4 linked regions of the Tamandua tetradactyla genome follow. The protein of the gene in region 3 purifies or fractionates together with the protein of the main gene of each other region. This does not show direct contact. Links are inferred from orthologs where the notes say so. Each region holds a gene or a part of one and is shown on either strand. Other genes may lie near its edges. The genes, in order: ECE1, SLC12A7, LGALS3 and SLC12A2.

Region 1 (6,930 bases), on a different chromosome or scaffold from region 3:
TGAAAAATCAAATAGCTTAGTTTCATGGCTGCCTGTCAAGAGAGAGAGATTTGGGGTGTGCTGCCAAATTTTCAAAGTCTAATTTAAGAGTTGCAGTTGTGTTTCCAGCACCAATCTGCAAGGAGCCATCTGAAAAGCTCAGATGGTCACCCAAGTATTAGAACAATTGCACCTAAATGTCCAACTACAGTGGACTGAGTAAATAAATGCCTTTTTACATATTGACACCACGAGGTATAATGACTTTGTTTAAGAGTTTATTTAGGTGTTTTTCTTTAGGTGATTTTTTTTTATAATCATTCTCTTCTTTAGGTGATTTTTAATGGCAGCATATTTCGTAAGTTTTTAACATAAAAAAATGTTTATGAAGTGGTGCTAGGTGAAAAAAGGATACAGCATCATGTACTAGAGTGTATTAAGGGAGCTCAACTACACTAAAAAAAATATATGCATGTGTGAAACACCAGACTATACCAAAAATGCTAAAAAGGCTATCACTGAGTGGTGGGATTACTGCTTTATAAAAAAAAATCCTTTTTTATATATATTATCCATAAATAAGCAGGTAAAGCTTTTACATTGAGAACAAAAAAGTCTAATTCTTAAAAACATAAGGCTACTAAAAAGCTCTGCTTTGCCAGGTGAGGTGGATGGGTTCTTGACTGTGGTCAAGAGCAAGCACTGGTTAGTTCAAGTTTGCTCTGGGGAAGTCACAGAGGGTCAGGGCAGGCTAGGCTGGGTACCATGGAAAGGTCCCAAATCCCTGAGCCAACTTTTCTGGCTTTCCCTGCATGAAAAGCTGAAGATGTGCCCAGTTCTGCCACTTGGTGCAGAAGGACCCACAGTGAACTCCAACCCACACGGTATCTGTGTGCCCACCAGAAGGTCCCCTTCTCTGACACAGAAGATGGGGGCAGCAAATTTTACCTCACTGGGCACAAAAACAGTAACAATGACCCTAGCAGGCCCAATGCTGTGTGCTTTCCATGCACTTTCTCTAGCTCGCATTTTACAAATGAGAAAATTATGGCTTACAGAGATTAGGCGTCTTGACCAAGGTCATGAGTGAAGTCAAGAGTGCAGACCCAGACTCCTGGCTTCAGAGACTGGGCTCCTTCCCCTGCACTAAGCAGCCCCACATGCATGGGAGGTACTCCGTGATCTGCAAAAGGCTAAACCCATGTGGGCTGCTGCCGTAGTGACAACACAGCATATTATTTTGTTGCGAATTCCAAAATGCTTTTGTGTTGATATATTTAGAACCTTCTGTGAAAGATGAGACTGAAAAAGATTGCTGATTCGATTCTGTTTTGACTTGTGAGGGGAAATTGCATGTGACAGGCATCTAATTTCCTGCTGGATTTAGCCTCTTAAGAAGGGTCCACAGGGAAGAGTCCTAGACAGACCTAGGTCTGATTTTTTGCTCACGATTTTCTAGCTCTTGCCTTGACCGAAGGCAAGACATTTCCCGTCTCAGAGCTTCAATTTCCATATCTGTAAGTAGGAAAAGTAATCCCTACAGTTTCTGGGGATAAAGCTTCCATACCCAGTGGATAGAGCACTTGGGCTCCTGAGTTCAGATCTCCATGGGCCTATTCAACTAATCTGGAGGAGGGACTCAATCAGTGCTATTTCCCTTTATTCGCATTATCACTCCGGCTTCTAAGAGGCGTACTTGAGTAGGACTAGACCTGCCCCCTAACTTTACACCCACTAAACCTGCCCTCAAGATGAGCTGTGATTTGATGTGAGTTCACTGGGGGCGGGGGGGGGGGGGGCTAATACGTCTCCTCTGTGTCTCCCTTCCCAACCTGGCAGAAGCCTCCTGTCTACACTGGTTTCTCAAGAGCCCCACTAAGGATCCTGGGTGTCTCCACATATCCAACTCGCCGTGGCCCACCCCCCTGGATTCAAACCCCACCAGGTGGAGGCCCTCGCCAGGAATGCTCCTGGCAGCCCCACCAGGAAGCGACAGTTCTCTCAGATTTCAGGGGGCAGACCCTGGGGAAGGGAGGAATTGGGCTTCTCAGGTAAGCTGAAAAGGGGGAGGGACAGAGAGAACAGAGGATGGGCTGGGTGCCCCCACACACTGGAAATTCAGGTATTTGGGGATAAAGAAGAATGAGGTAATGCCAACCATATAGGGTGACCAACTATCATGGTTTGTCAGAAACTGAGGGGTTCCCCAGGATGCAGGACTTTCAGTGAGAAAACTCACTGATGAGTCCCTGGGCCAGGCTGGGGCTGCCTCCTCTGTGCAAAGGGAACTGGACCAGTTCAGGTCTGACTGTGTTCCAACTCTGCTACCTGGGCTAGCAGCAGAAGCAGGGGCTCCAGAGGATTTGTCAGCTGGTTAGGGGAGGCTGGCGGGAGGCGGGGGCAACACCTCAGAGACCCTCTCACCCGGGAAGGATTCTTGCCCAGGCTGGAACGCCCCCCTTCCGGGTGGCAGGACAGGGCGGGAGTGGAGGGAGGGCAGTGCCAGGACACATGCCCAGGCCTAGGGCACCTGGAGCCCCGGGATGGGGGGGGGGGGCGGCAGAGGGAGAGGACGCCTACCTGGAGTCCGTTGGGGTACACGTCGCCTTCAGAAAGCGAGTCCACCAGGTCCTCCTCGTCCAGCGTGGCCCGCTTATAGGTCGACATCTGCAAGGCCAAGTGCAGCACGGACTCCCTCAGCGCCTCCATGGCTCTCGTACCCGAATGGGGACGCGGCCCCGGCGCCGCCACCACCGCGCCGCGCCCCGCCCCGGCCCGGCCCGGACACCCGAGACCGGCCCACGGACCGGCCCGCGGCAGGGAAGGGGGTGTCCCCGCCCCCTCCGCCCCCCCATCGCCGTCCCCCTCCGCCCCCCCATCGCCGCCCCCTCCGCGCTTACGCAACGCGGGGCCTCACCCCCAGCGCCGACAGCGCGGTGGCCACCGGGTGTTGGGGCCACACGCCCCGCATGCTGAGCCCCGTGGCGCCAGAGTTGCACTCGCCGCCGCCGCCGCAGCCACCGCCACCGCCACCGCCGCGCGCCGGGCGGGCCGGGCCGGGCCGGGCCGGGGCGGGGCGGGCCTGGCATTGAGCCGCCTCCGCGGGCGGGGTCTGCTGGGCGCGCGGCGCGGGGGTCCCACCCTGGGCTCCCGGGAGACCCCCGCGGCCCGAGAGTTCCCGGGGAGTGAGGGACCGCTGTCCTCCCTTGAGGTCAGCAGAGGAGTCCCCACGGCCAGCCCCCAGCAGCCAGGAAGGGGCCTCGCTGCGATCGCTCTAAGAAACTCTGAATTCTTCACTAGGAGAAGACCCCAATGGCAGATCAGAAGTATTAGGAAGGTACCCACCCACCAGAGTCAGAACCGTCCAGCAAGAGGTTTCCCTCACCATCAGCCCTGGGGGGGGGGGGGGGGGGGGGCGCCCCCCCCCCCCCCCCCCCCCGCCGCCAATCTGAGCCAGAAAGATTAGAAGGGGGTGGGGGCGGGGGAAAAGGTGCAATAAAAAAGAAAGGTGTTCCCTCCATTCATTTCTTCCTTCCTCTGGCTCAGGGATCTTTAAGCCAGAGCTTATGAAGAAGTTTAGGAAGTCCCAGAGAACTCCCTGGACACAACGAAAATGCTGTGTGTCTGCACCTGGGTGGGGTCATCCAATGCTTGCCTCCAAGTTCAAGGGTGTGACCCTCCCCCAAAACACTAAGAACCACTGCTACGGGGTAAGTCAGAAACCAGGAAGCGTCCCTTCCCTCCCCCCTTCCCTCCTCCAGCAGATGTCCTGCCCGGCTCAGGAGCCCCTGTGACCCTAGGGAGGAATTGGGCTTTCTCAGATGTCAGATGCTCAGGTAGGGCCTCCAGGCACTCTCCTTTCCACCCCAGACCCAGGAAAGCTCCAATCCAGAACAATTTCCTGAAGAAATTTGCTTTTACTGAGACTTGGAATCCCCTGAACTTATGCACACTTTTTGCCTTTCCCAAGTGCGCTTCTGTTCATTCCCAGAATTGATTCTCACGATCACACAAATGTGTGAGGAAAAAGGCTAAGAGAGGTGAGGTGTCTGCCCAAGGTCACATCGACAGTGACAACAGTGGCTTCTGACCCATCTCTCAGCCTCTACTCTCCCCCGTTTGGACAGCCCAACTTAGCAGCCTTTGAGCCTTTAAAAATGAAATTCAGATCTCGCCACTCCTTTGCTTAAAACCCCTCCACTGTCCAGTCCCTGTCCACCTCTGCCCCTCATCTTGTCTTCTACACCTCACTCAGGCCTCACTTTTTTAGTCTTCAGACAATTTCTCAAATTTTTCAAGTTTCTCCATCCCCCAAGACCTTTAGACCTGCCGTTCCCTCTATCTGGAACATTCTTTCCTCATCTCTGCTCCTCCCATGGCTGGCTCCTGCTTCACATCTTAGCTTAAATGTCACTTCCTCGAATGTGCTGACCACCTTATCTAAGTAACTTCCCAAATTCTCTATTACAGCACTTAAAAAAAAACCCTTTTTAGCATTTATTGTAGACTTATTTTTGTTTGTTTTGAGTTTTTTATTATCCATCTCTCTCCATCTTCCCACAACGTCCGCTTTATGAGGGCTGGGACCTTGTCTGTCATGTCCAACAGAGAATCCCAGGCAGCAGAACCAGATTACGTGCTCAATAAACAATTGTTAAAATGAATGGAGGAAATGGAAGGGAAGTGAAAATTACTCTGGGGCATTGCCTTTCAATCCTTACACGTCCAAGGAAGAGGAAACACATCTCAGGAGCACATGCCCTGGAAGCCCTGGGGGAGGCAGGGTGTCAGGGAAGAATTTTATTCTGAAATCTTGGACCTCACTCCCACTGTATGAAGAGTTCCCATTACCCACCAAAGAAAGAGAAAGGACTCCAAGGCTTCTTCACTTAACGTTGGGTTACAGTTGAGTTTTCTGAAACCAGGACACTTAGGCTCAGGTCACGGTTTGGGAATACAATCTCACCCCTGAGATATTCAACCTGGACCCAGAAACTGGGGACGTGCACTGTACAATGAAGGGAGAGGGCTTTGGAGCCAGGCGCACCTGGGTTTGAATCCCATACCATCCTTTTCATGCTGTGCAAACTTAACCCCTATGAGCCTCTGTGTTTTCACATCTAAAATAGGGCCATAGTAAAACTGCATTACAGCATTTTTGGGAGGACAGGTGAGTTGAAGTATGTAAAGTATATAGCTCAAAGCCTGACACATAGTAAGCACTCAACAAATGACAGTTTCCTGTGGCATTATTAACTAAATGGACCCCCAACTGTGATTACACACCCCCAGTGACAGGAAGCTTTAAGGCAAGTCTTTCTGTCTAGACTGTCAAATAAAGCATCTCTTTATAGATTGACAGCCTGGATTATTCTGATGAGAAAAAAAAAATCCACCTGGAGTCAGAATCTAAGAATATCAGATGTGGTTGGGATACCGCAATTGAATAATCCAACCTCCTCTTTTTACATGGGATTGAGAGGAGGTGGTAGCTAATTCTCTGAGAGGGGTAGGGATATCCCTAAAGTCATACAGCAAATTAGTGGCAGAATGGGAACTCAGTACCATTTCTCCTAGTTCCAGCCCATTTCTTTCCCCATAGTAACAGCCGTTTTCAGACTAGGTTCTATGCAGCTCTGGAGGTTGGCAGAGGTACCTCAGAGTAATTTCTATCTGGGCTTCTGTGGGGGTAAAGTTCTTTTGCTATAAAACAAAATGGTGTGAAGAGAACACTGCACAGTATCTGCCCCTTGGTATGGTCTCAATGAGCTGCAAACACGGCCCCAATTCACCAGAGAGTTCTCCCCATCACCATGGCCCTCCACTGGCTTCCCTGCATAGACCGGCCCAGAGGGTCTCCCCAAGTCCTTGAGAATCCCTTAAGTCCTGCACTTCCATCCCATAACCTCCCCACTGCCCAGAGTCTGCAGGGCAAAGGTGCTACCTGAGGCCTCCACCTGAAATGGAGACTGAAGCCCTACCTGGAAACAAGGAGGAAACCGAGCAGGGAATGGAGCCCAGGGTGGGAGTGCTAAAGGCCCCAGGAAGGGGAGGCGGGGGAAGGCAGAGAGCAGGGCCCCAGGGCCCCTCGGTTGAGAAGGTGTGGCCCCTGCGAACCTGGCCCCCAGCAGGCTTGGCCAGACACTCCCTCAGGGCAGGGGCCTTAGGTGGCCCCCACTGTCTGAGGAGGGCCCGGGTCTCCAGAGGAGTAGGGGCTGAGGAGGCAGGCAGGCCTGGTTCTGATTGCAGCAGCCTAGCTGAAATGCTGTGTGCCTTGGACAAATGGCAAATTTCTCTGAGCCTCAACTTTTGCATCCTTGCGAGGGGAAGATACATGAAGTGTCAGGCAAGGGGGCCAATCACCTGATGAAAAAAGCCCTTGAAAAAGAAACCTGATTCACCAAACATCTCTCCAGCCAAGCATAACCGCTCCTATTTTCAGGGCACCTGGTGGGTGCGAGGTGTTTGCTAGTTCCTGCACACCCGTCACCCAATCTAAGCCTCCCCCTGCCCTCGGAGGCCCCTTGGCTGAGAAGGTGCAGCCCCTGCAAACCTGGCCCTGAGCAGGCTTCTTTTACAGAGAACCAAAGTGAGGCTCAGGGATGTGACCTGCCGAGATGCACTTAAGCAGGGTCTCCCCCTCTTCCCATCTCATTTCAGGGGTCACCCTGCTGGGAAGCAATCCTGACCACCCTCTCCCCCTTTGCCAGGGTTCAGTCCCCTTCTCTGTGTTCCCACACAATCCCTCTCCCACCCCCACCCCACCCCCAGCACAGAGGCTGGGTCAGATTGGGCCTGGTCTGAGGCTGGGGCTTCCAGGGCTGTTTGAGTGAGGGTGGGAGGCAAGGGAGGGAGGCTGGAAACCCATCCCAGGGGCTGACGGCTGGGCTGTCCTGCCAAGGAGAAGACAGCTGAGATGGGGTGCTTTTCTTTTTCAGCTGACAGAGGATG
Region 2 (7,003 bases), on a different chromosome or scaffold from region 3:
ATGTTGTCGTGTGTTGTTTGGCCACAAGGAGGCCAGAGGTCATGGTGGTAACCATGGCTCATAGTGGCTGTGGGTCACGATGGCCATGGGTCATGGGTCACAGTGGCTGTGGGCCATAGGTCATGGTGACCATGGGTCATGGTGGTGGCCATGAGTCATGGTGGTGACCATAGGTCACAGTATCTGGGTTGTGGTAGCCATGAGTCTCGGCTGTGGGTCATAGTGGTGGCCGTGGGCCATGATGGCCATGGATCATGGTAGCCATGGGATTATTGTCACTCAGAGAGACAGCTACTCCTGGAATATGCAGACACATGTCCCCTGGGAGCTCAGTGTGGCCTCTCTGTTCTGATGCTGAGGTCTGAGCAGTCGGGCATCAGAGGCTGATGGCCCCCTCTCCTAACTCAGCCCAGGCAGCCTCTGCACTTCTGGGCCCTACTGGGGCCCTCAGAAAGGGCACTCCAGAGGGCTGGGTCAACTCCCACGCTCCAGGGGACAAGCTCAAGTCTGCCCCCAGCTCCTGCCCTGCCCTCCGACGGGGTAACCTCCCCTGTGCTTGGGGTTACCTCTTCACCCCTCACAGGCAGCCACCTCCTGCACCCTCCCTCCACCCTGCCCACATGTGGACGGCCCAGCCCTTGCTGGGGACTGGGGCTGGCAGCAGGCCAGCAGGACAGCAACAGCCTGGGAGGTGGGTGACCGGTTACTCCCACTCCCAACCCCGCGCCCAGGGGTGGCAGGGGTTACACCCTGCTCACTCCCTGGTTGTTAAATCCTCAATGTGAAGCAAACGCCAATGCATCAAGGAAGCTGACACTTCCCGATCCTGGAGGAAATGGGCACTGCGGGCGCTGCACTGAGCATCCTGCAGGCTCAGCCAGAAGGCGCCGAGGCCAGATGGAAACACGAGTGAGCGTCCTGGGCAGATGCTGCCCACCGTGCCCCAGGGCAGCCAAGGCCCACGAACTGAGGCCAAAGGAAACAGGCCTGGTGGGTAGGGCCACCCACGCTGCGCCCACGCCCCCCCTCCAGCCGCCATGGTGGAGCGGGCCCATGCGTGGGCACCGAGGGTGAGCGGGCAACAGGGGCCCTGGAAGAGCCTGGGGATCAGTGTGACCCAGCCCCCCACCACCGGGCCCTGCTGGGAGACAGTTGCCCGCACCATGGAAGGTACCCACCAGGCATCATCCCCAGCTAGAGACATGTGGGTCACAGGAGGGGTGAGGAGGGGCACGTCCACCTGGGCCCAGCAGCTTAGCTACGCGCGGGGGGCGGTGCCCGGGGAGATCGCAGACAGCCAGGGTCAGGGCCTGGGCAGGGGCAGCCGGGACCCAGCATCTCAGGGCTGCCCCTTCCAGTCCCTCCCCGAAGACCCTCAGGGCTCCCTTCATCAAAGCTGTTTCCTCCAGAGCAGGGCAAGGACCTGCAGGACCTGCAAAACCTGGGACCCCCAACTAAGGGCTCAAGTTCACACCTGGGTGTACGATCTGTATGACCCTGAAGACAGGGCGTCAGCCACACCGTCATCCATGTGCACACACACAGGTACCCGTACATGCACACACACTCACCCCAGAGCCGTGACATATCGGCACCCACGGCTGCAGTCCCAAAGAAGGAGCATCCACACCATGCGCATGCACACACACAGATTCACACACATACATACGCACATACATATACTCACATACATGTGCATGCGGAGATTCTCACACATGCACACACATGTACACAGAAACTCGTACATATGCATGTACACACATTCACATATGCACACACAGAGATTCTCACACATGCACACGTGCCTGTACACACAGATTCACACACACACATGCCCACATGCAGAGCCGTCTGACTTCATCCCATGATAAAGAAATCATTGTGGCTTTCAGCACAAAGTCCTGGAAAGTATCTCACATTTCTGCCTGCACTTTTGGGGTTAGGGTGCACCGTCCCCAAGGGCCCCCCCCACGAGACACATGCACACAGTGTGCACACTCCCTTGGGCAGGCCACAGCAGAGGCCTGGACAGCCGCCCACCCAGCTGACTGCGTGGACACAGAGGCCCTGGAGGGGGACTCCCGCGGTTGCCCGCTGGCCGAAAGCCCTGGGGTTGAGATGGGGAAGGATCTCCTCAGATGGTCATTCCCTGGGACCCCGTGCCTTAGGGACGCCCCTACTGGTGTCCCCCACCCCAGGGCTGTGCAGAGCCCTTGCCTTCAGAGCCCGGCAGTGAGAACAGCAGCTGCACAGCTGGACGCACCCACAGGTCACGGGCCCAGGCTGAGGCTGGGCATCTCAGAGGCCAGGGGCAGCTGGGGACAGGGGTGGACGATTCTGGGTTATAGGAAGTGGCTGTGCAGCAGCGCCAAGCAGAGGGTGTGAAGTTATAAAATCACCCATGCTGCCCCTTCGGGCCCCCAGGTGGTCGCCTCACACAGAGGACACAGCACGCGTCCCTGCCCCTGTCCCTGTCTCTTGCCTCCCCACTTCCACGAGGACTTGGTCCTGAGCGGAGATCAGAGCAGCCAGGAGCTGTCACCGGCCGATCTCCGGGACACCGCGGGTCCCCACCGCGAAGCAGGACCGCTTGAGAGTCATCGGGCGGCCGACGTGAGAGGGGCAGCCGAGGTGAGAGGCGCGCGCCGCGGGCAGGGCTCGGCTCAGCTGGGAGGGCCTGGTGCCCGCGCTGACCCGTGCCAGCGCCACCACCCACCCGCCACACTCCCGCCCTGCAAGGAGCCGCAGCCCCGAGGGTTTGGCGCCCGGCCGGGCCCGAAGCGCCCGCGACGTGTCCGCCCGCCGGCCGCGCGTCCCACGAGGCCGGGCGGCCCGGCGGCACCTACCATAGCGGCTCGGCTCGCGGCAGTAGCGCAGGATGGGCAGCGCGTCCACCCGCGGCGGCTCCAGAGCGCTGCCTTCGGCCTCGGGCCTCTGGTCCCCTGCCCCGCCCGCCGCGGGGGTCACCACGAAGCGCTGGGACATGGTGGCCCGAGAGCGGCCTCCGCGTCCCTGGGCGCCGAGATGGCTGCGGGATGCGGAGCGGGGCGGGTGCGACGGGCGCCGGGGGCGGGGCAGGGGCGGGCAGGGCCGGCGTGGGCGGGGCGCCTGGGGGCGGGGCGGGGCGCCCGGGAGACAGGGGACTTGCGGCGGAGGGGGCGGCGTGGGGCTGCCCGGCCGGGCGCCGCGGAAAGGGCCAGACCCGACGGGGCGCCCGGCGCGCTCACTGGCTCCGCACCCCGCAGGCGTGTGCCCGGGAGCCGCGCTGGAAGCCCCGTCCCCCTGGCCCTCCGGCCCTGGCTGGGGAATCAAAGTCCAGGGAGAGACAAGAGCATCGACAGGCAGTGGCAGGGCGCAGGAAGAGGCGGGCTCACGGAGGAGCCCGAGGACTGTGGCAGCACCGCCCGTGTCCGCAGCCATGAAGCGTGCTCACCATAAACGTGTAGGGGCCCCGCACACACCCTACAGTACTGTGGATACAGAGAGGAGGGAGCTTGTGGGGCCACTCTGGGTCTCTCCATTTCTTCACCTCCCCTGCCTTCTCCCATCCCAAGTGAAAGCCAACAGCCAGGGTGAGGACACGTGGCTCTCTCCGGGTGACCCCAGGCCCACTCCCAGACTTGTTTCAAGCTCTGTGGGCATGCAAGGCAAAGCCCCATGTCCAGTTCAGGCATGAGTGGGGCCAGTAGGGTCCGCCTCTCCCTGCCCCGGCCTTGGGCCCTGCTGTCGTCTCCACTGGGGACGCTATTCCCAGCTCCTGCACTTGCTCCAGTCTCTGTTTGTCAAGAGCCCCTTGAGTCTAATCCAGCTGTCCACCCACAGTGCCTGACACATTTTAGGCACGCAGCGCAGAGCGTTCAACAAGTGAACCGTCAGACAGACAGACGGACTGATAATTGATGCATGGGAAAATGGGCAGTCAGGAATGGATGGATGGATGGACAGATGTATGTATGTATGTAAAGATTCTTGGATGGCCTAATGGACCAGTGGTGGATGTGCAGATGGATGGATGGATGGACAGATGGATGGATGAATGTTCAGATGGATAAATGAAGATGGGCAGATGGATGGATGGACAGATGGATGGATGAATGAATGGATGGGTATATGAATGGTTGGATGGATAGATGGGTATATGGACAAATGGAAGAACACACAGAAGGATGGATGGACAGATGGGTGGGTAGACAGAGGGACATGCAGATGGGTAGATGGACAGCTGGATGTACAGGTGGATGGATGGACGGATGGACAGTTGACATAAGGTTAGTCAGAGTGATGAATGAATAGACAGATGGGTGGATGAACAGAAAGATGGGCATACAGATGGATGGATGGGTGGATGATGGGATGACAGGTGGGAGGAGGTAGACAGACTGAGGTGCAGAGAGGAACACCTGGCCCATGGGAGACTGTCCTGTTATAGACAGTGGAGATCAGAGGGAGCCCGCTGGCTCAGGTACAGGCACCGCTGGCCAGGGCCTGTTGGGTCCAGCAGCAGAGGATGGAGAGCAAGATGCCCTGGGAAAGTGTGGGATTCGTACACCCCATGGGGAGGCCAGGGGGAGGTGGGCCAGGCTGGGCCGGGCCCTGTGAGCTGGGCCAAGTCCTGGACTTACCCTGCAGGTGGGAAAGTCCCTGGTGGCTCTTACGAGGTGGCCGCAGCCTCCCAGTAGTGCTCGGACTCCAGAAAGAGGAGCTCTAGGGATGAGGTCAGCTTTGGACGAGGATGTTAAGGTGGGAGGGGGGCACCAGGATGGTGGAGGATGGTGCAGCACCCTGTGGGGACGGGGTTTGGAGCCAGCGGTCCCCCAGCTCACCGGGAATGGGGCAGACACCTGGGTCCCTACCTCGTGCCTCAGCACCAGGTGTGTGCACACAAGTGGGGGCACATGGACACACGGACACACAGATGTGCAGACACAGACGCTCCCTCTGCATGGACACCCAAGCAGCCTGGGGTCCCTTTCTGAGGCCCCATCTTCCACCTCCCCTCGACGTCCTTTCTGGGGTTTCTAGCCCTCCCTTCCCAGCACCCCCGTCCCCCATCCCTGCAGCCTCCCACCACCCCTGGCTTCCTTGGGGGAAGTCCAATGGCCTCTGGGACCCACGTGCAGCCCTGACCCCCCAGCCCCCCCAGCCCATATTCCCGTGCAGTGTGGTAGAGGGGGCCGAGCTGCAGCTCCGTCCTCAGTGCCCAGCCCCTGGGTGGGCTGGGGTCCCAGCACCGCCAGCTGGGGGGGCTACGTCTCAGCAGGTGTAGAGGGTCGGCTTCTCCATGTGCCCATCAGTGCTCCCCGTGCCCCCAGACGCTGGTGGGGTCTTGGCGGGGAAGAGGAGGGCAGAGGGTCCGCAGGGGCCAAGCTCCAGGCCGAGGGGTCCACCTACTGCCCCAGGGTGACAGCAGTGCCTCCAGCCCACCCAGCCCCCAGCCCTCATCTGTCCACAGCCCCTGGGGACCCCGAGCGAGGCAGCAGCAGCTACGCCCCCAGGTTTGCTGGTGATCTGCTTCAAGTCAGCAGGACAAGAACAAGGAAAGGGAAAGGCTCCTTGCCCCCACCCCCACCCCTGCCCAGCCTCCTGTGAGCGGGGGTCTCAGACTGCCTGCAGCCCCTGGTCTGCACCGGCTCGGACCCCATGGTCGGGAAGGCAGGAGCTGCTGCCGGGGGACAAGGAGGTGGGAGTAAGGGGGGCAGGAGGCTGCTAGAACGGGAAGACCAACAACAGGTTCTGGTATGGATTTGGGGCTTCTGGGCTGTGGCAAACTCTCTCTGTCCCCCACCACATCCTCAGCAAGTCCTGTGCCCACCACACCCTGGGAAGACCCCACGGGGGAGAGGGCTCTTGCCAAGTCAGCTCAGGCAGAAAAGCAAGACAGCTGGTGGCCAGAGGTCAGTGGTCAGAAAGCCACCAGGAGGACGTGTGTGCCCCTCCCATCAGCCTGGGGTCCCCGAGATCTCCAGGGCTCTGTGAATGGAACCAGGCCATGGAGCTCTGCTGTCCTCTGCTGTCCATTGGTCACATCCAGGATGTGGGTTCCCAGCAGGTGGAGGTGCTGCCCACTGCCACACATCCCTGCCTGTGGCCCTGAGCCTTGGAGCCTGGGACCAGGGGAAAGGCAGGACCCCCAGGGCTGGGTGGAGTGGGAAACGGGGAATGGACCTGGCCCCGCACAGCCCCTCTAGAGTGCCCTGATCAGATGTGAGGGGCCTGAGAGTCCCTGAGGTGCCCCAAGCCAGTGATGGGATGGCTTGGGGGCACCCAGCCTCCATGCAGGTTGCCCAGTGAGGAGGCGCGGCTGGGAGGGCAAGTTTGGTTGTCTATCGCTCCGCTGTAAGACAGCTGGAAAGCTGCCTTGCCCTTGGGGTCCTGTGGCTGGGATGGGGCTGGGCCTATGTGGGGTTTGGAATTCTATCCTGTGGTCAACAGTAACTCTAGAGTTACAAGGAGCCGCAGAAAATGGAGTGTGTGTGTGCCTGCACAGTCAGTGTGTATGTGTGCATGCGCAGTGTATGTGCGCATGCACAGTGTGTGTGCATGCACAGTGTGTGAGTGTGTGTGCCTGCACAGTCAGTGTGCAAGTGTGTGTGCATGTGCAGTCAGTGTGCAAGTGTGTGTGCATGTGCAGTGTATGAATGTGTGGGCATGCAGTCAGTGTGTGAGTGTGTGTGCATGCGCAGTCAGTGTGCGAGTGTGTGTGCATGCACAGCCAGTGTGTGTGTGTGCCTGCGCAGTCAGTGTGCAAGTGTGTGTCCATGTGCAGTCAGTGTGCGAGTGTGTGTGCACGTGCAGTGTGCGAGTGTGTGTGCATGCACAGTCAGTGTATGAGTGTGTGCATGCACAGGTCAGTGTGCGAGTGTGTGCATGTGCAGTGTGCGAGTGTGTGTGCATGTGCAGCATATGAGTGTGTGTGCATGCAGTCAGTGTGCAAGTGTGTGTGCATGTGCAGTGTATGAGTGTGTGTGCATGCATATGTCAGTGTGTGTGTGCGCATGTGCAG
Region 3 (7,432 bases):
AATAATTTGAATTTACTATGCAAGATATATTAAGAAGTTGGCTGATAATGGAGTTGCTTTGAGACTAGTTCTATTTATCCAAAAAAAAAAAAAGCAGTCAATTTTTAGTCAGTTCTATGAATTGAATTCTTTACTCTTTTAGTTTTTTATCATCTTAAGGGGCATCAGAGGAAAGGGGTTGAAAACGATAAAATCTTACCCACTGTTGGTGGGAATGTCAAGTGGTACAACCACTGTGGAAGGCAGTTTGGCGGTTCCTCAGGAAGCTAAGTATAGAATTGCCATATGATCTGGCAATACCATTGCTAGATATCTACTCAGAGGACATGAGAGCAAGGACACAAATGGACATTTGTACACCAATGTTTATAGCAGCGTTATTTACAATTGCCAAGAGATGGAAACAGCCCAAATGTCCATTAACAGACGAGTGGCTAAACGAGCTGCGGGTATATACATACGATGGAATATTATGCAGCTGTAAGACAGAATAAAGCTATGAGGTATGGATCTTGAGGACATTATGCTGAGTGAGATTAGCCAGAAACAAAAGGACAAATACTGTATAGTCTCACTGATATGAACGAACATCAGTGAATGAACTTAGAGAATTTCAGTTAAGAACAGAGACCATCAGGAGATAGAAATAGGGTAGATTTGGGGTAATTGGAACCAAAGGGATACAGATTGTGCAATGGGACTGATTGTAAAAATTCAGAAATGGACAGCACAATACTACCTAACTGTAATACAATGTTAGAACACTGAATGAAGCTGAATGTGAGAATGATAGAGGGAGGAGGGCTGGGGGCACAAACGAAATCAGAAGGAAAGACAGACGATAAAGACTGAGATGGTATAATCTAGGGGTGCCTAGAGTGTATAACGATAGTGACTAAACGTACGAATTTAAAAATGTTTCTGCATGAGGAAGAACAAAGGAACGTCAATATTTCAGGGTGTTGAAAATAGATGGTAATTAATATTTTAAAACTTTAACTTATGTGTGAGACTAAAGCAAAAAATGTTTATTTGGTATGAAATTTATATTTTGACTAGTGCATCTCCTAATATGACTTTTGTGGACAGTTTAACTGAATGCTACAAGCACATGGAAACTTGAGTAGGGCATGAGATTTTGTAGGTTCGTCCAGAGTGATGTCCTGATAAACCCGAGTGATTTGAACAGTGAATAAAAAAGTATTTGCAAAGTCCCCTTGGGGGAATGGTGAGAAAGGGGGAAAATTCAACTTCCCCAAGTGGAGAATTCTTGATATTCTCACAAGCAGTGGGCACAACTGAAGCAAAAAAAAAAGGAAAAAAAAAACACAATAACATCAAACAGTCCACTGGATTTTTCTCCAGTGCTCACAAACTTGTTCACTTAGCAAATATTTGTTGAGTGGCACTTGGGAACATCAGTGAACAATGTAACAAAGTACTGTGCCCTCAGGGAGGGGTGCAGGAAGGAAAAGCAGGGAGAAATCAAGGATAACAAACACACATAGTAAATAAGTAAATTCTAGAGCTGATAAGGGCTGTGGAAAGAAAGAAAAATTAGAGGGGGTAAGAGGGGTTGGCAGTGGGAGGTGGTGGATTTGATTCTACATAGGGGGGGCAAGAGGACACCTCATGGAGAAGGTGACATTTGAGTAAAGGCTTAAAGTAGGTGACAGAGTGAGTAGATGACAGGAGGAGAGTATTCCAGCTATAGGGAACAGCCAGGGCAAGGATGCAAAGTCAGGAGTGCCACAGGAACAGCTTTTGGGGGCAGGAGTGGCTGGGGTGGGCTGAGCAAGTGGGAGGTAAGAGGAAGAAAGGTCAGAGTGAAATTCCAAATTAAAATGCTCACTTCTTTAATTTTTCCTTAGTAGCAATACAGCTTTATATATGACCTTATTCTTTGTCCCCTGACATTATAAGGTCCCAGGTAGCCAGTATCATGAGGCCACTCACATTGCCTAATATAATCCAACTTCATAGTTGCAGCCCATTGTCAATCATCCATTTTGCAAACAATCATTTACCCTCTTTTTTAGAGTAGCAAGCTACTGCTATTTTTTATAAAATGTAATTCAGGCTCTTCATTAATCTCTATCCCTCAATCACATTGTTTCAGTGAGATTATATCACTATCACGTTCCCATTTTCGATTTTTTATTTACTGAGTGCCCAAAACATAGACCACGTGTATTGTGTCACAAAATTCGATCACAAACACCAGTGGGCCAGTTCCAGCCAGGTCTCATTTGTCCTGCTTGAGGTTACGGGCTTCCCATAACACTTCGGTTCTTCTAAGAGCAGGGCTGTTCTTCCTCAGCAGGCCCCCTCTCCTGAGGACCCGTCAGCCGGGCAGCTCCAGCCTGCTGCAGCATCTGCCTGTGTCTGCTCTCCCCGCCCCGTGGGAGAATGCTAATGCCTATCCCATGGGGCTGTCTCTGGAAGTCTGCAGTGACAGCACTGCCCTGGGGTGGGAGTTAGCCTCCCTTCGGGGGACTGTACTCTGTCACCTGGGCCTTGATGCGGGCGTCTCTCAAAGCTTTCCAGATCCATCAACTTCTGGCCTACTCCCACTGCCTGGGGCTCCAACCAAACGAGCAAAAGAGGCTAGGCTGAGAGCGGGTGCAGACATTCCTTCTCTAGACTTGACTCCATTCTCTAGTACCAAAATCCTTTCCTCTAGCCCCAAATCTAAAAACTCCCAGGTGTATCCACTCAAGCAGTACGGAGGCTCTCTCACACATGCTATCAACCAGACACAGGATCCCAGTTTCAGAGAGGAGACTCTACTACTGAACTGAAATATCACACAGAAAGCACTAGAGATAAAGGGGTAGAAAGAGTAATTCTTCTTCATTCCCTCAGAGATCATTTTACCTTGTGGGCAGCCATTCTTTACATTTCTGAATGACCCTTCCAAGCTCCTTTTAAATCTACAACTTTCTGTGGCCTGGTGGTGATGGCATTTTGTTTGTTTTTGCTTCAGCTGGTTGAGCAGTGAATATTCAACACCTTATTTCTTAGACCCTGACACACTTTCAACTTGATCGATGTTATGATCACGGTCATATCTACTTTTCTGTGCCTCTGTTTTCTCACCTGTAAAATGGGGACAAAAATAACACCCATCTCATATAGGTATGTAAAGTACTGCACATAGTTCAAGAGACATAACTGCTCAATTAATATAGTTGTTTTAATTATTATCTGAATTAAAACAAACAGACAAACCTTGGACATACCTAACCATTTTACTCAGTTATTACCCAGTGAAGTGTTTGCAACCAAATATCACCTCCCTTCAGCAAGTACCATTATTTGCTGTAGCAACCTTTCCTACATTTGTAATTTTGTCCTTTCCCACCGTAACCAAAGGTAATTTTTGCATTTGCTCATTGTCCCATTCTCCAATCTGTGAGAAAACAGACATTCTGACTTCCTAAGATGTCATTCATTCTTTATTTCTTTTCTTCATTCATTAAACAAATATTCACCGGGATCCTACTACGTGCGAAACCTAGGGGCAGACGCTGAGGATACAGGGCTTACAAAGAGCAGAACGACCCCGCGTGTCCCCACATCACAGGTTTGCTGGACCCAGGCCAGGAAGGCGAATGAACACCTTCAAAGGGGAAGAATGTGGACACGTCTCCCTCAGCGGCTCAGAAAACTTTCTGACAGAACCTCCTGGTCACACTCAAATCAGTGTGATATTTTACGTACAGGAAATCCGTTTATTTGTATATAAAACATAATTACTTAAGAAATTTTTACGAAATTCCACATTTCTTACCCATTTACTCGTATAACCCACGTCAGCTTCACACAGACTCAGGACATATTTGAATCAGGAGCTCAGAATATCAAGTACGAACTCGGAAACTACTTCCTCAAAAAAAAAAAAAAAAAAAATCAAGCGTATAGGATGCAAAGTCAGGATAACTTTATGGAAGAGGTTTGTGGTTTTTGTTTGCTAAAATGCCTTTCTTTTTTTCCAGGGTGCAATTCTTGGGACGACTTTGATGCTGAGAGAGAGTTAAAGGTAAAGCAAAATGAGGGCGGGATGCGACTGCCTGGGATTCGGGCAGGAAATAACCGAACAAGGTAAAACAAGCAAGCGGGCCGCACGCAAAATCCCCCAGCGACCCAAACGCCCAAAACTTCGCAAACTTTCCCCGCGGGCCGTCGGCGTCCGCGGCGGAGTCCGACGAGCGCGCGGGCCATGCGGCCACGCCCAGTATCCCGGGACCGCCGGGGACGGACCCCGGGCCGCGGGCGTCGCCCTTCGTGGGGGCGGAGCCTCTGGCCCGTCGTCCCCGGCCGAGCGCCCCCCGGAGCGGCGCGCGCGGGGCGGACACCCGGGGGCGGGGCGGGGGTGGGGAACCCTGCGGCCGTCACGCCCCGGGAGAGGCGGGGCGGGGTGGGCGTATTTGAGGCGCGGAGCCGCCGTCGGGCCGGGAGCGCCCCGGGAGCGAGCGGGAGAGCCACGTAGCGGAGGCCGAGGCGAGGGTGAGCGGCGGGGCCGCGCGGGAGGGAGCGCGGGGGCGCGGGCGCCGCTCGGGGCGTGGCGGTTCTCGGGAGGGCTCGGCCGAAGCCGGGGAGGGAGGTTGGCTGCGCTCTGCGGGCGCCGTCCCGGGGCGGGGCGCGGAGCCTCGGACGTTCGAGGGGCCCGAGACGGGGCCCGAGACCGGGCCCAGGTAGCCACGACCGACGGAACTTCGCGCTCAGGGCGAGCGGGCGAGGCGGCGGCCGCTGGGCGAGCCGGGCGCCGGCCGCTTTCTGGGCGCTCGGAGGACGCACCCCGGCCGCACCCGGGCCCCACCCTCCCGCTGCCTCCGCCGTCTGTGGTTTATGGACGTGGAGTCTCTCGGAACCCGAGTTGGGCCACTTCCGAAACGGCTTGGTGCAAATGCAAGCAAGCGTGCTGCGGCGGGACCCCCGCATCCGACCAAGCAGCCCCCTCTCTTCCGGTATTAGAAACCAGGCGTAGGGCGGCTTTTGGGACCTGTGATCCCGCTGCCCGGGCCACTTTTATCTCTACAAGGAGATCTTGGTGAGGGCAGGAAAGAGTTCTAACAGGCCCAACAGTCCCGAGACAGGGGTTGCGGCCAGCTTTCTGAATGTGGATTCCACGGAAAAGGGTGCTGCCCTCCCCACCCCACCCCCAGGCGTCCGGAGCATGCGTCGCTTTTGCAAAGTCTGCACACCCTAAACTGTTAAGTGACTCATCCCTGCCCAGTTTGGCTACTTTGGGCCATAAAAGCTCATATCTGTGCTAGGGATGTGTCAGGAGCGGCAGAATTGTGCAGAGCCTCAGCTGGGGGGTTTTAAAACGTGTTTGAGGATATATTCTGAATTATCAGCTTATCAAACAGAAGTAAAAATGCGGCCACTGGCGGTTGGGTGCTAGATGCTAGAGAGACAGGCACCTATCGGTGGACTTGGGTCCCCCAGCCCTTCAGAGCCAGCCATTCCTATTTCAGATACTGTGGAATATTTGTAAAATGGGTCGTGGACAGTGAGGTCAGCTGGACTTCGGTGACCCAGTCTCCTTCTGGGATTCTGGGAAAAGAAGGGCAGGCAGGCTTTTTTAATTCTGAAGAAAATGAGAGAGAGAAAATGAACTACTTGGGTGCAGTGCATCAGAGAAAAATCCCACCATCTTCCAAAATTTTGATTTGTATGCCTCATGTTTAGAAAGTTTTCTAGGAAAAGTATTTGTTCCCATAAAAGTTAAAGTTTAATAATAAAAATTTATTTTCCCACGAAAAATGGTCTCCTTTTTAGCCTTTGACTTTGAATTTTTGGAATGGGACTTTCATTTCTTTGATGGTCCTGCCTCATCCTTGATCTTTTGGAGATTCGAGCTGGTTCCTAAATTCATGTTTTGATGGTTTAGAAGCAGCGCTTCTTCCATATCCTGGGAGAAAATTTGATGATGGTGCATGAATGTTTAGGGTTTAGAAGTGTTAGGAGGTTGCCTCATGAAGTAAAATAAGTAGCAGAAAAGGGGGCATTCTGCCCTGCCTGGTGGATTGACCCTCAAAGCTAGTCGTTTTCAAGTAGAATGGGAAGCCTCGCTCTACTGAGACTTGACTTCCTATCAAGAAGAAATGACTTCCTATCATTTAATCATTGATAGTTCGCAGTGCTACGGATACACATAGGAGCTTCAGGCAGACTTCTGATCTATTGCTAAGGATGTCAAGAGGGCCAATCTCATCTGTAATTTAGATCCTGTTTGCCTAGAACCTTCATGAACCAGACGCTGAGTTTCCACTGCGACAGAGACCTATCATCAGAGAGTATAACTTGAGTACCCTGTGCCGGCTTTAAGTATTAGTAAGCTTGTGAACTGATGGACCTGCAAACTCGTGGTAATTGAATAACTAACTCATGAGTTCTATTGAGCTCTGTGTGTGTAGTGCCTGAAGTGGTTCTTCTCATTAAATTCTGAGTAGGTAACAGAAGAGCCTTCCAGGGCAGTGCTTGCTGTATACTTCCAATTGCGTTGGACTAAGTATCATGTTCTCTCTTGACTACTGTTCAGCTTTTCCATAAGGGAAAAAGAACCAGTAACTGAGAAGCACAAAGTAATTTTGCCTCCCTTGCTCCTGAGGAACTAGCATGAGAAAGAAATCCCAGGAAAGGATGGGTCTCCTTCACCCCGCTTAACATGGGTTGTGGAAAGTGGACTTTCCCCCAGCTCCGCTGAGTGTTTCAGGAAGTAGACCCCCCCTTTGTGTTCCTTAGGGAGGAAAGTGGTGCAGGGTTCTGGGGTTCTGAGGTAATACATTCATCATCTACTTCCATTAACATTTCTGTAACGGTCAGGGCCCCTCGAGCAAAAATTTCAGAACTGTGCCTGATAACCCAGATGAGTGGGTCCATTGCTAGGGTGGCCTAGAATTGCATGGTACGGTAAGCTACTCGATGTTAAAGGGAAGAGCTACCAGCTACCAGCCAATGAAAATGATCTACATTTCGGCACCTGTTTAAGTTCCTCATTCTAAAGCTACACTGAATTACTGTAAGTTTTCCAAATATGGAGACCCAGGTAGGATTTCCCATTTTGGGGGTGCCTTGTCTTTCGTGCAGTGTTTCTTTTCTGGTTCTTCAAAATTCTCTGATTCTGGGAAGGCCAGAATGGAGTTTTCATATCTCTGGAGCAGGGAGATTTTTTCTTTTACATTTAATTGGCCTTCTCTCTGTAAACTGCTTCATCTGGGGGGAAAAAAGTGTAGCTAGAAATTTTTCAGGCAGCTAGATGCTAATTTTAAAATAGATGTCTTAAAAAAAATGTTCTGAGGTTGTCCAGCTTGATTTCAAAAGAGCATTGTTACAACTCTTTTCAAAAAAAGAGATCTGATGGTAGAGGTTGACATAACCCAAACAGCGTGTTCCCAGTTTTTGGAACACTTGTTGAAATGTG
Region 4 (7,027 bases), on a different chromosome or scaffold from region 3:
GAATTAAATGGTATAGAAATTCTAAATAATATGATTCATCAAGGACAAGAAACATTAGAGAAAGTACTAAGGGGACATCATTAGTCAATCTAGACAGGATGAAGAATAACTTTGGGGGTCTCGCCAACTGGTCCTATCACCGCTGTCCTGCTCCCTTTCAGCACAGGTATATCTCCATGGCCATGATTCAGCCATGATTGTTCCTATACTACTTAAGATCATACGTGTTTCTTTAACCAATTCCCTTAAAATTCTACACACAAATATCTTTAGTATATGAGTCTACACTTAATTAACCTAATACATCTTTTTCATCGCAATAAAGGATCTCAGCAGTGGAAGGTGAAAAAAAAAATTAGCAAAGAATTCATTTGACTACCTGTTGAAGCAATGACAATCTGAAAATAACATTTTATACACAACACTAATCTAAGTAAATAGGACTCGAAACGACCTTAAATTGAAATCCTAGAATTTAACTCTGTATTTTCCAAAGGACAAATACAAGGGTAAAACAATAACTACACTAATCAGTATTTCCCAAGCACTGTGCTTAGGCCTTTATTTTCTCTCATCTTTACAATGACCTTTAATGTTGAGGAAGCTAAGACTCAGAGGTTAGACCTAAGCTTCTTCAGTATCACACAGCTAATACAGGTGTTCTGTTTTTTAACAGAAAAAAAAAAAACAAAAAATCCATCAAAGATCATTTAGTGATCTTAAAGTTCAGGATCACTGAAATGCTTTGCTACTGAGAGAATTTAATTTAAAATAACCAAAACTTCCCTAGGAAGCATAGAATTTCAAGGTAAATAATACCGTTCAATTCAAAGTCTTTCTGAAACTTATGGTTAAATGAATTGCTTTACAGCTAAACTACCTTGCTTTAGTGAAATAAGCCTGAAATACATCTGTATAATACTTCCAACTGTAAAAGTGCTTATGAAAAGGAAAATTATCAGTTCCATATCTACTTTAGTCTACAAAGATTTGAGGACTCTGTACAATCTACCTACAAAGAGACTGAAGAGAAACTACAGTACAGGAGTACAAACAAAAGCAAAGTGTTTAAAATTAGTTTTTGCTCCTAATATGACAAGATGCCACAATGGAATAACAAGAGTATTATCTAAAGCTAAATGATGTCAGGCTTTTAAACAATCAATAGGCTGTAAGGGTCCAGACCTTTGTAATTCTTTCAAACTGTATGAATGCTACATTATTAAACCTTGGGACAAATGCTGCCTTGTACGAAATATATGTATGAGCCCAAATAATCGCATCCAAAAGAAATCACATACATTCTGTATTTAAACTTTCCCATACTCTGATGATTTCAAACTATGCAGTACCAACTCCTTGCATTCACACAATCCCATCAATGGAGTCATTATACACTTGCAAAGACAGACTTAATGTAATCCCAAGTCATAAAAGTTAAACATTAATCGAATCTCAAAAGCATGTTATCTCAAAAATAACAATTCTAAACCTGAAGAAATAAGGCTTACGTAGCCATTAAAAAAAAAATTACAGAACTCAGTAGAGTTTATGGGGATGGTTTCCTGTTCACAAAGTGCAAGTGCTTATGCAAAGACCACTGGAGGGCTTACTGCTTTCTGGACATCCTCTACAGAAAACGAAATTATTTAAAGGTTCTGCCTCCCAGCCCCAATTTTATTTTTTAGATAACCTCTCCCAAAGGTTTACCTTAGAAATAAAATGCATTTATGCCATCAACAGGTACAGCATGCTCTAAGCTTTGAGATCTCCATGATCCTTTGCATATCCAAGTTTGCAAGTATGAGCTTTAAGAACTCATAACCACAAACATACCCCGTTAGGCTTCAAACACCAACCACTCTTAGGATTCCCTAATGGGTATACCCAAGCCATCCAGTGCAATCCTTAAAAAGGGCGCAGCGAGCAGGGGCGCTCCAGTCTGCAAGGGCGTCCTCACCTAAACCTCCCGCACAGTCCCTTCCCATGGCCTGCAGACAGAGTTGTCATCGAGACAGGCTGGGTTTTGCTAACCAGGTGGTTAATTTAAAAAGCACCCAACACACAAATAAGCGGATGGGACGGCTGTACACGCAGTCCTGCCAGCATCACACGACTAGCCTAACACGCTGCGACCGGCAAGTCCACCCTGACAGCTGAATCCAGCGGTGCCAGCGGGTCGCGCTCGCACATTCCGGCCACCGCACCCGGGCAGGGCCGGCCGGCGCAGACCGTGGCCGGGGCGGGAGGGCTGCAGGGCGAGGGCCGGGCGCTCACCTTTTCCAGCTCGTCGTGGAGCTCCGCCAGGCTGGGCCGGAGCAACTTCTCCCCGAGCTGCGCGGCCGTGTGCCGGTAGTGGTCGATCCTGGGCACGGCGTCCATGGTGTTGTGGCCAAAGGTGCGCAGGTAGTAGGTGTTGGTGTGGGTGTCATAGTAGTAATGCTGCTGGTGGCCGCTGCCGCCGCCGCCCGAGTGCAGGCTGCTGCCCTCGCTCAGCACCGTGTCCCCGCCGTTCTGGAAGCTCACGTTGGGCCCGTCGCCGCCGACCCCCGCCGCGTCCGAGAGGCTCTCCTCAGCCGACGAGGACGCGGCGGGGTCCACGAAGTTCACGCGGAAGCGGCCCTTGGCCTCCTCGCTGCCCTTGGCCGGCACGCTCTCGCCCCTGGCCTTCCCGTCCGCCGGGGTCTCCCTGCCGCCCCCCGCCCCGGCCGCCGCCGCCGCCGCTGCCGCGGCCCGCCCGGCGTTCTCGGAAACCAGGTCCACCTGGAAACGGCTCTGGCTCGGGGTGGGTCCCAGGGGTCTGCCCAGCCCATCCCCGGCCGCCGCGGCCCCCTCACCGCGAGCTTCCCCGCCGCCCCGGCTCGCGGCCGCAGCATCCTCCGGCACCGAGGCCGTGCCGGGCAGGTCCACGCCGGCAGCGGACAGCGCGGCGGCCGGCGGCGTCTCCCCGGCCCGCCGTGGGGCGCCGAAGGAGGGCGCCGTGGGTCCAGGCTCCATCTTCGCCCGGCACCCGGCGGACCGCGCGGAATGCGCGCCCTCCGCGCCCCGGCCCGCGGTGGCCGCCCCCTCAGACGCCGGGTGAGGGAGCCGCTCGCCCGCCCGCCCGCCGCCGCCCCGACCGCTCGGACGCAGCCGGCAGCCGAGTCAGCGCGCGAGTGCAGCAAGCGCGGGGCCGGCCCCGCGGTTTAAAGCCTCGGCGCGGCCGCGGCGGTCGCGGCTCCGGCGGCAGCACGCGGGAGGCGGGGCCCGCTGCGCCCCGCCCCTGAGCCCGCCCACCCGCGAGCCTGCGGCGGCGGCGGCGGCGGCGGCGGCGGCGACAGCGAGAGCCCCGCGGCTCCGGGCCCCCCGCGGCTCCCACGCAGCCGCGCGTGAAGGCGGCCCGCCGGAGACGAACCGGGATCACGTGGCACGCGCGGCCTCGCCGCGGCCGCCGGGACGATCTCCGCGCCGCCGCCTCCCCGCCGGCCTCCTCACCCCGCCCCGCGCTGCGGGAAAAGGCGCGGGTCCCCGGCCCGCTTCCTCTCCACGCGCTCGGGGAGGCGCGCGCAAGTGAGCCGGCGCTGCGGGCCTCGGCGCTCCGGACGGCTCCTCGCTCGGGCGGCGAACGGCGCGCCGCCCCGCCTGGCGCTGCCGCGGATGCTCCCGGGCGCCGCCAGCGCAGCGGCCGCTCCCGGGCTCTCGCTTTTTTTTTTTTTTTTTTTTTTGATTTCTGAACTCGCAGTGCTCGGCGGAGTCGGCGAAATCTCGCGATATGCTACCGAGCGGACGGGCCGCGTCCCCGCCGGCGCGTGGTACCCAGGGCAGAGCCGGCGCCCGGCCGCCTCCCGCGCGGCGGGGGATGCCGGGGCTTTCGGTCGGTGCTGAGGCACTTCCGGGGGCGGGGGCTGAGGTGCGCCCCCGGCGGAGGGGAGGCGGGTCCTCCGCGCCGCCGCGCCCCATCAGTCAGGGAGGCTTGCAGAAGCAGAGTCCTTCCCGTGCCCGCCCTTCCGACGGCATCTTTATTTTAGCCGTGACGTTTGAAGGTCAGAAGGGGGCTGCGTGGTGATGTCTTAGGGTTCCAGGGCTGCGTCGTGATGTCTTGGGGCTTCGGGGCGGTTTTAACCCGACGCTCTTCGGGAAAGGCCTGGCGGCCCCGACGGCGGCGCGCGCAGCGAGGCCCGGCTTGGGGTAGGTTGTGAACAACTCTGTTTCCATAGAAACAAAGGGATGCCTATGCTTGGAAGGTCTGTTTTTCTTCAGTAAAAATGTAGGGAAAAATAAGTTTTTTAACTTTTTCTCTGCGTAATTATTTTTATTCCAAATTCTATTCAAGCCTTTCAGTTAAAAAAAAAGAAAAAGAAAAGAAAAAACAGCCATGAGTGGCAGTATTCAGTCATTTGTCTTTCATTCATCTACTTTTTTTTATTATTTAGGAGGGAAACATCATCCTTTACATCATGCTTGCATGATCAGAGAGCCTCTAGTTTGCATTTTTTTTAAAACGCCATAACCAGGTAATTTTTTTTAAATAGGCAAATCCGTATCATATTTGACCTTGACAACTTTTCAACTCGTTTTCTTATTTCCGCTTTAAAGATGGAGAAAGGAAGAAACAGTTCTTGGGTCAGGTAGTCAATATTTTAAAAACCGCTTCTTGAATCTTAGTAACGTTAGCAGAGGATGGAGATTGCAGCCTTAGGAGCTGGGCTGTGAGGCGCCTTCCAGCTCCACAACCAATGCGGTGGCTGTGGAACCCAACATGCATTTAACTGAACGGGTTCATCCCATGGGCTGTGCTTTGTTCTGGGGATACAGTGTGAGTAAAACCAACAGTCCTTTTCCTTATGGAGCTTAGAGAGAGACAACAAACAAGATAAATATATCTGAAGCATATTGCATGTGGGGGGGGGGTGCTAAGGGAAGGGGAATGAGATATGTGGTGTGTGGGCGAAAGTTTTAAATTTTAGGTAAGATGGCCAAGGAAGCCGACAATGAGATGATGACATTTGAGTGAAGACGTCAGTGATGTGAATATTTGGGAAAAGAGCCTCTCAAGCAGGGAAAACAAAAGCCCAAAGGGCCCTGAATTCCTGACAGATTCATGGAATTGCAGTGTGCATTTTAGTGTGACTGAAGTTGCTTAAGAGATGGGGAGAATCAGAAGAGATTAGGTCAAAGAGTTTGGGGGCATTAAATGTTTGTAATGTGGGTATAGGACCTCATTCGTTATTGGAAGGACTTCATTTTTATCGTGAATGGGATGGCAAATCATTGGAGGGTTTCACTAGAAGAGTGACATGATCTGACAGATATTTAAAGGATCAATCTAGCCGCCTTGTTGGGGATAGAATAAAAGAGTTGAATAATGTGGCCAAAGAAAGTAACTAGGAGATATATTAGGAGCTGTTATAATAATCTGGGAAGAAGTTATGTGGCTTGGAACACAGTGATAGCAGTGGAAATGGAGAATAGTGGTTGAGTTCTGGGAAAGCAATAGGGTTTTGCTGATAGTTGTAGATTATGAAAGAAGGAGGAGAATCCAAGGGTTTTCACTTGAGCAATTGCAAGAATGGTATTGCTATCTTCTGAGATGGAGGAGATGCTGAACAAAGCAGGTTTGGTTAGGGGGATATCAGTTCAGTTTAAGTTGCCTGTTGGAGGAAATATACAAATGAATGTATAGTAATAATAAATATGTAATTGCAAATTGAAAAGTTCTAGGAGCAAAAGGGACATGATGCAATGAGAATACAAAATAGAAGGAGCGTGACCTAGTCAGAGAGGTAGTGATGTTTCAGCCAAGGTCTGAAGGACGATTAGGACCAAATTGTACCAAGTAGCCTCTCTAAGGAACTTGAAGACAGTTGGATAAAGCATAGAGATAAAGGTCAAGAATGGTAAGAAATGAAACTCTTATTCTGAAAGTCATATGAGACCATTGATGGTTTTCAGGAGCTGGAACATCGTCAGATCTTCATTTTTTAAAGACCTCTCTGATACTGAGGACAGAAGCTTGGAGAAGAGCAAGAGTAAGCCTGGGAAGACAGCACGGTTTCAGTAATCTGGGCATGAGATGATAATAATAGCAGCTAACATTTATTGAACAGTTAAGTCCTAAATACTGCCCTAAACTTTTTACATTCATAATCCTATTTTATCCTCATGGCAATTCTATGAAGAAAATCATAGTTTTGCTCACATTTTACAAGTGAAAATTTTGGTTAAGGTCACTGTCCTGTTTGAAAGGAAGTATGCTGTTCTAGTTTGCTAGCTGCCGGAATGCAACACACCAGACACGGATTGGCTTTTAATAAAAGGGGATTTATTTTGTTAGTTCTTCAGAGGAAAGGCAGCTAACTTTCCACTGAGGTTCTTCCTTATGTGGGAAGGCACAGGATGGTCTCTGCTGGCCTTCTCTCCAGGCCCCTGGGTTCCAACAACTTTCCCCTGGGTGACTTCTTTCTGCATCTCCAAAGGCCTGGGCTGAGCTGCAAGTGCTGAGATGAGGAATGCCCAGCTGCATGGGCTGTGCTCTCACATTTAAGTACCAGCCAATTAAGTCAAACGTTATTCATTGCAGCAGGCACGCCTCCTAACCGACTGCAGGTGTAATGAGCAACAGATGAGGTTCACGTACCATTGGCTCATGTCCGCAGCAACAAACAGAGTACCATTGGCTCATGTCCGTAGCAACAAACAGAGTACGTTCACCTGGCCAAGTTAACAACGGAACCTAACTACCACATATGCCCCCTAGAAAAGCCATGTTTTGATCAAAATCCCATTTCGTAAAGGTGGAGTAGTCCCTATTCAGTACTGTATGTTTGAAACTGTAATCAGAACATTTCCCTGAATGATGTGTTTTAATCAAGAGTGGTTGTTAAACTGGATTAGATGACAACATGTCTCCACCCATTTGGATGGGTCTTGATTGGTTTATTGGAGTTCTACAAAAGAGTAAACATTTTGGAGAATGGGAGATTCAGAGAGAGCAGAACAACATAGCCACGAGAAGCAGCGAGTCCAACAGCCGGTGACCTTTGGAGAT

What was found.
Region 1: the proteins of LGALS3 (region 3) and ECE1 purify together in Homo sapiens (affinity purification with mass spectrometry; 3 studies listed by BioGRID and IntAct, counting the BioPlex papers as one, with this or other methods). This does not show direct contact. The link is inferred for Tamandua tetradactyla from reciprocal best matches to the Homo sapiens genes LGALS3 and ECE1.
Region 2: the proteins of LGALS3 (region 3) and SLC12A7 purify together in Homo sapiens (affinity purification with mass spectrometry; 3 studies listed by BioGRID and IntAct, counting the BioPlex papers as one, with this or other methods). This does not show direct contact. The link is inferred for Tamandua tetradactyla from reciprocal best matches to the Homo sapiens genes LGALS3 and SLC12A7.
Region 4: the proteins of LGALS3 (region 3) and SLC12A2 purify together in Homo sapiens (affinity purification with mass spectrometry; 3 studies listed by BioGRID and IntAct, counting the BioPlex papers as one, with this or other methods). This does not show direct contact. The link is inferred for Tamandua tetradactyla from reciprocal best matches to the Homo sapiens genes LGALS3 and SLC12A2.

Annotation. Positions count from the first base shown.
Region 1 is NC_135328.1:205,056,959-205,063,888, reverse strand, and holds the start of ECE1 (endothelin-converting enzyme 1), read right to left. Parts: upstream 3,014-6,930; 5' UTR 2,951-3,013; coding exon 2,897-2,950; exon of another isoform or gene 2,880-2,896; intron 2,647-2,879; coding exon 2,560-2,646; intron 1-2,559. UniProt on the Homo sapiens protein: Converts big endothelin-1 to endothelin-1.
Region 2 is NC_135335.1:49,362,053-49,369,055, forward strand, and holds the start of SLC12A7 (solute carrier family 12 member 7), read right to left. Parts: upstream 3,010-7,003; 5' UTR 2,986-3,009; coding exon 2,847-2,985; intron 1-2,846. UniProt on the Homo sapiens protein: Mediates electroneutral potassium-chloride cotransport when activated by cell swelling. May mediate K(+) uptake into Deiters' cells in the cochlea and contribute to K(+) recycling in the inner ear.
Region 3 is NC_135338.1:10,966,055-10,973,486, reverse strand, and holds the start of LGALS3 (galectin-3), read left to right. Parts: upstream 1-4,409; 5' UTR 4,410-4,509; intron 4,510-7,432. UniProt on the Homo sapiens protein: Galactose-specific lectin which binds IgE. May mediate with the alpha-3, beta-1 integrin the stimulation by CSPG4 of endothelial cells migration.
Region 4 is NC_135346.1:6,464,497-6,471,523, reverse strand, and holds the start of SLC12A2 (solute carrier family 12 member 2), read right to left. Parts: upstream 3,013-7,027; 5' UTR 2,998-3,012; coding exon 2,278-2,997; intron 1-2,277. UniProt on the Homo sapiens protein: Cation-chloride cotransporter which mediates the electroneutral transport of chloride, potassium and/or sodium ions across the membrane. Plays a vital role in the regulation of ionic balance and cell volume.